Linked DNA regions of Macaca fascicularis. The protein of the gene in region 3 purifies or fractionates together with the protein of the main gene of each other region. This does not show direct contact. Links are inferred from orthologs where the notes say so. Each region holds a gene or a part of one and is shown on either strand. Other genes may lie near its edges.

What was found.
Region 1: the proteins of NCBP1 (region 3) and LIN28A purify together in Homo sapiens (affinity purification with mass spectrometry; 3 studies listed by BioGRID and IntAct, with this or other methods). This does not show direct contact. The link is inferred for Macaca fascicularis from reciprocal best matches to the Homo sapiens genes NCBP1 and LIN28A.
Region 2: the proteins of NCBP1 (region 3) and DDX39B purify together in Homo sapiens (affinity purification with mass spectrometry; 6 studies listed by BioGRID and IntAct, with this or other methods). This does not show direct contact. The link is inferred for Macaca fascicularis from reciprocal best matches to the Homo sapiens genes NCBP1 and DDX39B.

Annotation. Positions count from the first base shown.
Region 1 is NC_088375.1:208,719,946-208,723,692, reverse strand, and holds the start of LIN28A (protein lin-28 homolog A), read left to right. Parts: upstream 1-1,085; 5' UTR 1,086-1,213; coding exon 1,214-1,244; intron 1,245-1,701; coding exon 1,702-1,898; intron 1,899-3,747. UniProt on the Homo sapiens protein: RNA-binding protein that inhibits processing of pre-let-7 miRNAs and regulates translation of mRNAs that control developmental timing, pluripotency and metabolism.
Region 2 is NC_088378.1:140,188,951-140,192,697, forward strand, and holds the start of DDX39B (spliceosome RNA helicase DDX39B), read left to right. Parts: upstream 1-1,264; 5' UTR 1,265-1,318; exon of another isoform or gene 1,319-1,867; intron 1,868-2,086; exon of another isoform or gene 2,087-2,164; intron 2,165-2,604; 5' UTR 2,605-2,736; coding exon 2,737-2,947; intron 2,948-3,747. UniProt on the Homo sapiens protein: Involved in nuclear export of spliced and unspliced mRNA. Component of the TREX complex which is thought to couple mRNA transcription, processing and nuclear export, and specifically associates with spliced mRNA and not with unspliced pre-mRNA.
Region 3 is NC_088389.1:60,461,490-60,465,136, reverse strand, and holds part of NCBP1 (nuclear cap-binding protein subunit 1), read left to right. Parts: intron 1-120; coding exon 121-223; intron 224-1,030; coding exon 1,031-1,124; intron 1,125-2,429; coding exon 2,430-2,533; intron 2,534-3,647. UniProt on the Homo sapiens protein: Component of the cap-binding complex (CBC), which binds cotranscriptionally to the 5'-cap of pre-mRNAs and is involved in various processes such as pre-mRNA splicing, translation regulation, nonsense-mediated mRNA decay, RNA-mediated gene silencing (RNAi) by microRNAs (miRNAs) and mRNA export.

The sequences.
Region 1 (3,747 bases), on a different chromosome or scaffold from region 3:
ATAAGGAGGGCCTGGGAATCTAAGAGTGTGAGGAGTACAGAGGAAGTACCTCTACCCACCAGCCCACCCAGTCCCTCTCTCAGCAGTGGATGGGGATGGGGTGGGGGTGGGACGAGAAGGCAGCTGGCGGAGAAACAGCTTCAAGACTCTTTGGGTTCCTCTTGCTCTTCAGGGAGCTTACCTGGGGCTAACTTTAGACACACAGGTTTGGAGGGAGGAAAGAGGGAAGAATTATTTACAACGAATCAGTTAAGAGCACTTTCTCTTTTCTAACTGGGGGAGGCCCAGAAAAACTCTGTGTCAGAAACTCTGGGAGGCAGACATTCAGATGTAGTCAGAGGCAGACAGACTTTGGAAGGCAGCGCTTTGGTCAGGACAGACCAGCCCTGTGTGTCCCCAGCCTCTCCCCCCTGCTCCCCCATCCCGGGCTTCCTAGTGTCCAGAACTCCAGGTCTATCTAAGCACACGGGGGTGGGGGGTGAGAACGGGTCAGCGCCAAGCAGCCGGGTCAGCTCAGAGGCCTGAGGGGGAAGAGAGGGGGAGGGGCGCTCAAGAGCTGGGGGAGGGGGAGGGCCCATTCATTTCTCCCTTGACAGGTGGTTTGTGTTTCTGATTGGCCAGCGCTGCCAGGCTCACACCTCCCTCCCCCAACTCTCTGGAATGTATAATTATCTGCGCGGGGGGTGGGGGTGGTGTGTGTGTTTGTGTGTGTGTGTGTGTGTGTGTGTGTGTGTGAGCAGTCACGTGGTTTTAAAACTACCCCCCCCCACCAGGTCCCCCACCTGTATCTGCTTTGGGGACCCCTATTGAGTCCAAAATGCAGGATCCCAAATTCCGGGGTACTCAAGCCTTCTAGAGCAGACAGCCCCAACTCCAGATGTGTGTGTGGGGAGGGGGTGTCAAACCTCAAGGTTCTGAGAAGGGACACCCCAGAGGTGTCAGAGACCAGAGCAGTGGGGGAGGGCCGGAGCTGGAGCTGGAGGGAAAGGGAGGGGAAAGGAGAGGGAGGGGAGGGGAGGGGGCTGCCCGCGGGGGGTTGGGTCATTGTCTTTTAGAATTTGGGAGCCTTTGAAAAGCCGTGGGCCCTCCCACCGCTATTGTGCGGGGGAAGATGTAGCAGCCTCTTCTCCGAACCACCCCTTTGCCTTCGGACTTCTCCGGGGCCAGCAGCCGCCCGACCAGGGGCCCGGGGCCACGGGCTCAGCCGACGACCATGGGCTCAGTGTCCAACCAGCAGTTTGCAGGTTCGAGCTCGGGACTTAGCTGGGACACCTTAGGAGGCAGGGGCGGCCAGAAGCCACGTAGAAGGAAGGTGGAGAACTGACTCCAAGGCTGCCCAAAGGACCCCAAGACGGTGCGGCCTCCTTCTTCATAGGGCCGTCTCTGGAGCAAGGAACCTTGGTGTTCCAGTGGCGTGCGCGCCAGACTACGTGGGTGGATGGAGGGGAGAGGTTTGTCTCGCCATGAGTCTCCGGGAAACGCATTGTGGGAAGAGGAGCAAACTTTCGGGGCACCACTGTCCCGGTGTACGCTAGGGGAGCGCGGGAGGCGACCGGGATAGGTTTCTTCTGTTCCTTGGTAGCTGCCCCCTCCTGACTGTCCACTTATGGGGTTGGACACTCGGGTCTCCCTGCCTGGAGCCCGAGACCGCCTTCCGATTCCGTGCCCCCTAGCTGAGTGCCTGGCCCTCCCTCTCTCTAGGTGGCTGCGCCAAGGCGGCAGAAGAGGCACCCGAGGAGGCGCCGGAGGACGCGGCCCGGGCGGCGGACGAGCCTCAGTTGCTGCACGGTGCGGGCATCTGTAAGTGGTTCAACGTGCGCATGGGGTTCGGCTTCCTGTCCATGACCGCCCGCGCTGGGGTCGCGCTCGACCCCCCAGTGGACGTCTTTGTGCACCAGGTGAGACTGATTGCGGTAACTTTGTCCAGGGAAGGGCGTCTAGGTGCACGTATCCACGGGTGGGCTCCGGGTTCGCTGTTGAATTGAGGGCCTTCGGGAACCCTCATTATGCGTCCCTGTCTTTGCTTCGGCACCCCAATTCTGAGTCCCTGTTAACTATCTCGGGGGGAGTAGTTGGAGGCAGCACCAATTATCAGCACCCCCGCCCCCTTCCGGGAACCCCTCCGGCTCACCACGTGTCTATTACCTCTTTCCCCTGGGAAGGGGTAGGGGGCAGGGAGGTGACCCCATGTGGCAGAAACTAAGGTTGTATTGTGCTTGCCGGTGGGGGGAGGGCGAGCAGGCCGGCCAGGGAAGCACATGCCGGGCCTGAGCCGGGCGCCCAGCGCCTCCAACGTCTGAATGGAGCTCAGAAGGCGGGAGAGAGTGAGGGCAACTGGCTACTGGACCCAAGGGGCATAAAGCCGAGAAGTCAGCCACATCCCCTTTTTAATGCAGACCTCACCTGGCTGGTCACTAAAAACTGGGTTTGGCCGATCCCTGAAGGATCCACATGGGAGCTTGTAAGCTCAGGACTGGGGTCTTTGCTGTCCACTTCCCGTGAAGAAGGAAAACCCAAGGAGCCCTGGCCTTCCTTACATTCCTGGGCCAGGCTGGGAGGGAAGTGGATAGGTCGCAACCCCAAGTTCTCAGTTAAAGCAGGGCAGCACAGTAGGGGGTGAAATTCAGTGTCGCAGGGCAGGGGGTGGAGGGAGGCTGGCCTCTGGACCTATTCTCCGCTTGGCATTTATGGCCCCAGACAGCCATTGATTGCTGTCTCAACATTCCTGGCCTCAAACAAGAAGCCAGAGACTTCAGGTCTCCCTCCTCCCAGGCTTCCCCTTCCTGAATATCCTAGAGGCATTCTGGTGGTCCTGGGCCACCAGCTACCCATAAAGACCATGGAAAGGAAGTTGCTTGCTGCCTGTGGCCCTTCCATCTTTGGAGGTTTGCGGCTGGATCTGGAAAGAAGAAATTGCTAATCCCAGATCGTGTAGGTTGACACCCAGGCCGGGCAGGGAGGGGTTACTTAAGGGAGGTTGGCTTTAGGAGGTGTGGGGGAGGGGAAAGGAGGATGTGGGGATTAAGGGCTGGAGCCTGAGGGATGGCATTCTTGGGGGGAGGGGTGGGGAAGGGAGATGCTGGATGGACTAGTTGGAGGCAGCAGGGACATCTTTGAGCACAGCCTTCAGTGAGGAACAAACCAGGGGAATAGATGCAGAGAGATGGGGAGCCACTACTTAGTGCTGGGGCCATGGGGTCAGTGGGCTACTTGAACATCTGCCAAGAGGACCTGTAGCAGGATACTGAGCTGACCCCTTGCAGCATCCTGATCCCCCCCAACCCCCCATTAGACAGCTAGTTTCCCACTGGTGGCTTTTCTCCCTTCTCTGTATCATTTACATATGTGAATGATAACCCACAGGAAGTAATTGTGGGAGAAAGAAGGGAATTGGCCTCTTTAGATCTATTAAATCACTTTATTACAGGAACCAGCTTTGAATGGCCCTCCTCAGCAGGGTAGCAAGCCTCCCCCACTCTCCCATTTATCTGATCACAAAGAGATTAAAATCTTTCCTGGTCTGGGGACTGGACAGCTCCCCCAACTTTGGGAGGCTGGAATAAAAGAGTCAGACCCAACGTTTCCTCATCTCCCATCCAAAGGCTGCCTGATAGGGAAGGGCTGAGGGGAACGTATCCCCTCATCTTTTGGGTTCCTTGGTGATATACATACCCCAAGGAAGGTGGTTTTTTGTTTGGTTTTGTTTTTTGAGCAAATGGGGACTTGGGCCTAGCAGGCTTCACCTCA
Region 2 (3,747 bases), on a different chromosome or scaffold from region 3:
ATTCTTTGAGCAGGGAGGCAGAATACAATAGAGAATTAGAGATGTTTGCATCCTGGCTGTAACCTCACTAGCTGTACTGCTTGGGATATGTTGCTTTGCTTCTGTCAATAAGATGACAAGAACGGTACCTACTCCTTAGTATTAAAAGATTAAGTGTGCTAACAGGGAGAGGGTCAAACGTTTGTTGTTTTATTACACAGCAGGACATCAGGTCTTACTTTTGTAGCTCCCCATCTCAAAGACAGGGATGGCAAATGTTTCATTCAGGAAAAAAAATCCAGGTTGAACAATGGGGCTGTTGGGGTGGGGCCAAGAACATTCTGCTCGAATTAACAGTATTAATGGGCCTGGTGAGGTGGCTCACGCCTGTAATCCCAGCACTTTGGGAGGCCGAGGCAGGTGGATCACCTGAGGTCATACATGGGTGAAAACCCGTCTCTACTAAAAAACCAAAAATTTGCTGGGCGTGGTAGCGGGCGCCTGTAATCCTAGCTACTTGGGAGGCTGAGGCAGGAGAATCGCTTGAACCCAGGAAGCAGAGGTTGCAGTGAGCCGAGACCACGCCATTGCACTCCAGCCTGGGCGACAGAGCGAAACTCTGTCTCAAAACAAAAAGAAAAACAGTATTAATGGAATGTAGTATAACCCTCAAGCCCTACTATTGACACTTGGGGCCGAATCCAGACCCCGTCTTCCCGCTCGGATTCAGAACACCTTCCTGACTCCCTGGCCCTAGGGCCGCAGCTACCTCGGACAGCATCCTTTTGGGAAAATACCGCCCACTAGCCCCACGACTGGGAAAGAGTCGGGCAACGCCCCTCCCCTCAGCTAGGGCCTGCCGTTTCCTAGTGCTTGCCCAGCCGCCCTCAGGTCACCTTCACTACCGGGCCAAGGACCCCGTGGGAACTCGCAGCCCTCGCCACACCGGTTCCTCGCGCATCCATGGAGTGCCTAGAGAGAAGACCTGCATGGCAAAAACCTAAACGAAGAGATGAGAGGCATGGAGAGGAGTACGACAACAGAAGAAAGATAACAGTGGGAGGAGACGTTAGTTTCCTTTATCCGTTTTGTTACTGGCGGTAGCAGGGAAGTTAGAAACGGTTTTAAAACAAATTTCAGACAGGCATTTTCCAAAGGCAAGCCTGGAGCGCACGGATCTGTACAACCGCGGAAGGCCCCGTTTCCGGTCCCTTGCGCCTGCGCTCTTGCAGCCAAGAAGGCGGGAGGCTGGAGTAGGGAGAAGCCTGCAACCGGAAGTGAAGGCAGATTTCCCTCCTTCGTCGCTGTTGCTGCCGCCATACGCGCTCTGCCTGCTTAGGTAAGCTTTGGCGTTCACTACAATCCGTTGCCATCTGCGCTTCTTCGCACCCATCCCGTCACATGGGTTCCTGATACCCTTTTCACAGGCGATCGTCTGGTCTCTGGGGCCTAGTTGGTTCCCCATTTCCGTAGCTTGCATCCCTTTCGAGAGCAAAGAGCTCTTGGGGGAAGGAAGGGAAGCTAAGGGGGGGCCCAATCCAAGATGGTGTCCTCGGCGCCATTGTGTTCGTTTTGCTCCCTTCTTCCAGTAGGTTCTTTTCATATTGGAGGCCTCAGCATCAATGAGAGGCGGCGCTAGGCGTCCCTTGGTCTTGGTATTTGCGGAGGGCGGGGCTCTTATCACCTTACTTGTCCTTTCTTGAGCCCTTTCTTGGCCCACGGTGGGACTGGGAGGAGGAGCCGGTTTTTGGGCCCAGTTGGATTTTTCTCACCTTGACTCGCCCAAGTTAATTTGGAGTGCCTTACAAGTGTTTACTACTGGTGTCATTGTATGTTTCTCCAAAAGGAGTCTCACCTTCGTAGCGCAACAGTGATGTCAGACCACTTGGTAAAGATCCTGTTAAAGCCTGGGCGGGGATTGCCTTTCTCTGTCAACTATTAACTTTGTTATTGTAGGGTGGAGACATGGATTTTTTTTTTTTTGGTGGCCGAGCCATTTGTCTTGCACCGCCCCTCCCCCCCATGCTAATTACACAAGGCTTTCTTAAACAACGGAAGAGAGGATACTGAGAAGTGGGAGGCTGAGAGCTATGGGAGGTGGACGGCGGCCATATGATGTTTTCTTTTCGAAAGATGAGCGCTTTGCGCAGTGATGACCCTCATCTATCACCCTTGACTGATGGCTGCTGAGTTAGGCATCCATAACGGTGGGATTATAATAGGGAAAGCACAGTCTTCCTTTGAGGACTTTCCAGGACTCTGCTTGTCATCTCCATTTTCCACTTTACTAAGTTATTAATCATATTTTATCTTTTATTATCTATTATATTTCCTCACTGTTATTTTCAGATTAAGAATTTATAAGTTGGTCTTCCCCTTCCAACTTTTCTGGTTTCCGCTACTGTGATTGCTAATCTTGTTGGGAACCTGTGTCCTAACCACTTTCGCTGGTGCTGCTTTTTCTGTTCTCTTGTATTTGCTTTTCGTTTTTATGTTGTGTATCTGTTTTTTTTTCCATGTAAAAGTTTCCTAGTTTAGGGAAAGTGGGAACTGGGAATGGAAAAGAGGTGGTGAAGGCTCTGCTCGTGACTAAGTCTTGCTTTTTTTTTTTTTCCCCTTCCCCAGCTCTTCTGTTAGAAATAGTATCTTTATTTTCCTTTGCTGTTCCTCAATCCCCTACTCTTCACCCCTTGTTTTCACCTGTTTTGCGAGAACCCATCCAGATCCCCCTTCCCGTCTTCCCCTGCCGGCCCAGTTATGGCAGAGAACGATGTGGACAATGAGCTCTTGGACTATGAAGATGATGAGGTGGAGACAGCAGCTGGGGGAGATGGGGCTGAGGCCCCTGCCAAGAAGGATGTCAAGGGCTCCTATGTCTCCATCCACAGCTCTGGCTTTCGTGACTTCCTGCTCAAGCCAGAGTTGCTCCGGGCCATTGTCGACTGTGGCTTTGAGCATCCGTCAGAAGGTAAATTTTCTCTTGGGCATGTAGTGCTCATTGGGCTCTTTAAGGGTACAATAAAAAGATGTGTTTGTTGTTGCTCAGGTGGTAAAAGTTTATACTTAAGGCTAGATCAGGGTCAGGTGCAGGGGCTCACGCCTGTAATCCCAGCGCTTTGGGAGGGCAAGGCAGGAGGGGTGGTCACTTGAGCTCGAGTGCAAGAGAAGCCTGGGCAAGATAGGGAGACTCCTGTCTCTACTAAACGAAGCAGGTGAAGGTTGAGGCTTCAGTGAGCCGTTATTGCACTACTGTACACCAGCCGGGGAGACAGGAAAAAAAAAATCAGGAGATAAGTATCGAAAACGATTTTGGATAGAGGAGGATTATACAGACTTGTTCTTTCTTTCATGATAGCACCAAAGTGCTAATTATCCAAAAGTAGCTTCTAGGTCTGCCATTCATTCTTGTGACTGACTTCTTTTGTCTGCTTATTTTTAATTTTGTCATTTGACTTGTAATTTTAAATTTCCAGAAAGGTCCTGATTGGACCTGTAGTCTCCCTCTGTTGGGCCAGGCCAACTGTGGCCTCTGGAAACCTCTATGACTGGTTTAGAGATGACTGGCTTCTGGGTCAGGTACCAAGTCCTTCATTTTGTCCCGGGTTGTTGTTATGTGACCCGAAGTATGGCAACCTAAGTAGGAGAAATGTCTTTAGCAGGTATTCAGATGTCATGAATTGTTACAGATTAAGAAAAATAAGGACAGAGCCAGGAGCATTGAAGGTGAGCGGTTGGTAGATGCAAGGGGGCTGTTAGTAGGACTGGGAA
Region 3 (3,647 bases):
AAAACATTACACAAATATCTGTGTATAGATGTGAGCGTACCATCTATTTAGCATTTGAGGTAAGGCACCAAGGGATTGCTGTACTTACATTTTTCTATTTTATTATAAAATATTTTTCAGATGAAGGATTCAGTTTTAACCCATTGAAAATAGAAGTCTTTGTACAGACTCTGCTACACTTGGCAGCCAAATCATTCAGCCACTCCTTCAGTGCTCTTGCAAAGTATGTATGAGTACAGAGCCTTTCTTGAGGGTTTGGAACTTTGCTTCATGAACACCAGTGGTATAGTAATTTTTACCTAAGATTGTTGAATATGAAGATCTTAATAATGTATAATTGGATACAGTGGGTTTGGGTTTGTGGTAGCTAAAATCTGTATCCTAAGGCTTCCATCAGTCTGTTTGTACAGTTGGCATATGTACATGGTAAGCGCTTTTTTTCATATAGACATTTAAAGTAGTGAAAAACCTAGATTTTTAGGACAGTCATATGCAGTTGGAAGTTCCCACGCTAAGTATCTTTGCCAAGCAATGTAAGAAGAAATTAGAATCAGCTACATTGTTGGGAGCCACCCAAAGGTTGACATCTAAAGACAGATATTTTTAACTTGTTAGACAGGGTCCAAAGGAAGAAAGAGCACATAGATTTTCCTCCAACCAAGCAGAGAAACTGAACATCTCACCCCATCTCTGCCTCCAAGGCTTTATGTTACTTGCAGGGTTCCCACAGAAGATGCAGTTTGAATATTCCACCATGTTTGAAGACAGTTCCTTAGTCCTTACCTATTCTTATAAACTGTAGCCCTGGGCTAACGGTAGTATATTGTAAATGTCTTGAGATTTTGTGACAGCTTCCTTAAAAACTATGAATCTCTAATCACACTTTTTGCATCCTTAATGGTTAATACTTACAGTTATTTTGCATTTGCATATTGCATTATAAATTGAGTAACATTGAAAAGGCTTTGAAAACACTGAAATGTTTAACGAATAAGTATATATGATATTTTTTTCCCACCATTATCAAAAGGTTTCATGAAGTCTTCAAAACCCTAGCTGAAAGTGATGAAGGGAAGTTACATGTGCTAAGAGTTATGTTTGAGGTCTGGAGGAACCATCCACAGGTAAAAATTATTTAATTAGACATGTTGAAGCTCTGATTATATAGGTATAAAAATAAGGCCGTTAATTACTACTGTTTTGTTTGTAAAACATGAAATTTGACTCTGCCTAGATAATGGTTTTTAGATCTAATTCTTTCAGTGCTATGGGAGTAATGATGTTTGATTCATTCTTGAAAGAGCAAGCATTATTGTGATTTGGTTTTGAACTATAATATCTCAACATATTTTAAATGTTCAGCAAGAAGTTTATCTAGTCTATCCAATTTCTAAATACAAGCTCCAGATTTCTCAAACCTTGATATATATTGTGTATTACAAAGAAACATTTAAATAAATTTCATAAAACAGTTGAGTTTTTAATGATAAAACATTGTTTTACATTTAACTTCTGAGGTTCCTCGAAATTATATATTTTTTTGAATAGGTATTAGTAACTGAAATTTAAATTTTTTTTTTTTTTTGGAGACAGAGTCTCACTCTGTCACCCAGGCTGGAGTACAGTGGTGTGATCTTGGCTCACTGCAACCTCTGCCTCCCGGGTTCAAGTGATTGCCCTGCCTCAGCCTCCCGAGTAGCTGGGATTACAGGCATCCACCACCACATCTGGCTAATTTTTGTATTTTTAGTAGAGATGGGGTTTCACCGTGTTGGCCAGGCTGGTCTTGAACTCCTGACCTCAGGTGATCTACCCGCCTCGGCCTCCCAAAGTGCTGGATTACAGGTGTGAGCCACCATGCCTGGCCAGTTTTTTCAAATTTTAACTGTTACCATTCAGAGTTTTTGTTTAGTCAACCTGTTTCTTGTAGTGCTAGAGCAAAGCAAAGGGAAGAATAAATCTTAAGATCTAATGATCAGGCAGGGCGCGGTGGCTCTTACCGGTAATCCCAGTGCTTTGGGAAGCTGAGGTGAGTGGATCACTTGAAGCCAGGTGTTTGAGACCAGCCTAGGCCACAGAGTGAAACCCTGTCTATACTAAAATAACAAAAATTAGCCGGGCATGGTGGTGCACACCTGTAATCTCAGCTACTCAGGAGGTTGAGGCAGGAGAATTGCTTGAACCTAGGAGGTGGAGGTTGCAGTGAGCCGAGATCGTGCCCCTCCACTCCAGCCTGGGTGACAGAACAAGACTCTGTCTCCAAAAAAAAAAGACCTAATGGTCAAATTGATCAATCAGTTCTACAGCCATCAAAACTAGATTTTATAGCCCTAGCCCTCCTATTTTACTTTTATGGTAGCAGTGTCGTGGCACATATACGTGTGTATGTGTGTGTGTGATTTACTTGAATAATTCTTCTCTCATTGTAGATGATTGCTGTACTAGTGGATAAGATGATTCGTACACAAATAGTTGATTGTGCTGCAGTAGCAAATTGGATCTTCTCTTCAGAACTGTCTCGTGACTTTACCAGGTAATATGAATTATTTTATGAAACTTGTGTTCTCTAAGAATTGATATATGTGTGGTCTCTTATACATAAGCTTCAAATTCTGGTCCAAACCAGGTTGATATTAATATACTGTGATCCAGTCTGGTCGGATTGGACATGGCAAAAATTCCTAGACAGTGGAAACATACACAGCCTGCATCTCTTAGCAGGGGCTCTTAGCAGGGACTCTCTTAAGTTGCAGCATCTCTTAGCAGGGACTCTCTTAAGTTGAATCAAGACTAAGCTAGTGAAGTAGAAGTCCTGTTGAAGGATCCAGACTGTTGGGAGAGAAAACTAGCAAGAGCCAGCTATGTGCAGAGTCTCAGCTAGTCCAGATGGAAATCAGGAAGTGTTCCAGCTTCTGTGGGGATGGCACCTGGAATGCACACCAGGAAGTAGGAGAAACCAAAGTCAAAGTAGATTAAATCATGGAGGTATCTGGGAAGGCTTGGTGATTACCAAGACGCCTGAGGGATGGGGGAAAAGGGGTTGTCACCACAGTCATAATCTTAGGTTTAATGCAGAAGACTCATTCTGCACTCATTCCCCCTAAAGGAAAGAGTTTTTGCTGTTTGGTTCTTATTTGTGAAGTTCACAGACTTTACAGTTGATAGGACCAGGACAGCAGGAGTTGACACAAAGCAGGAAACTAAAGCAAATTACTTGTAAAAACATAAAAATCCATCACAACCTTTAACTTTTCCACTGTATCTGTTATTGCCAGAGGACACTGATCTGAAATATACTGAATTGTTAGGGTGATAAGGTATGATCTAAGGTTGTCATACCAGCCAGGTTGGCCTTCACAAATAAAGACAACAGAAGGACATTTTCAGATTTGTAAACTCCAGAAAACTAACCACCCGAGTATGTGTTAACCGTTGTCCTGAGTGATTTACATTTTCAGTTCATTTTATCCTTACCGCATCACCATAGAGGAGGTTCCATTATTGTCCACATTTTACAGAATAGGGAAGTGTCACAGAGTGCTTTAGCCTGCCCAAAGTCACACAACTAAACACAGAGCCAGCATTCAAACCAGGCATTCTGGAATCTGTGTAGTGCTCAGCAGCTCCATCTGTTCTTTTAACACCTA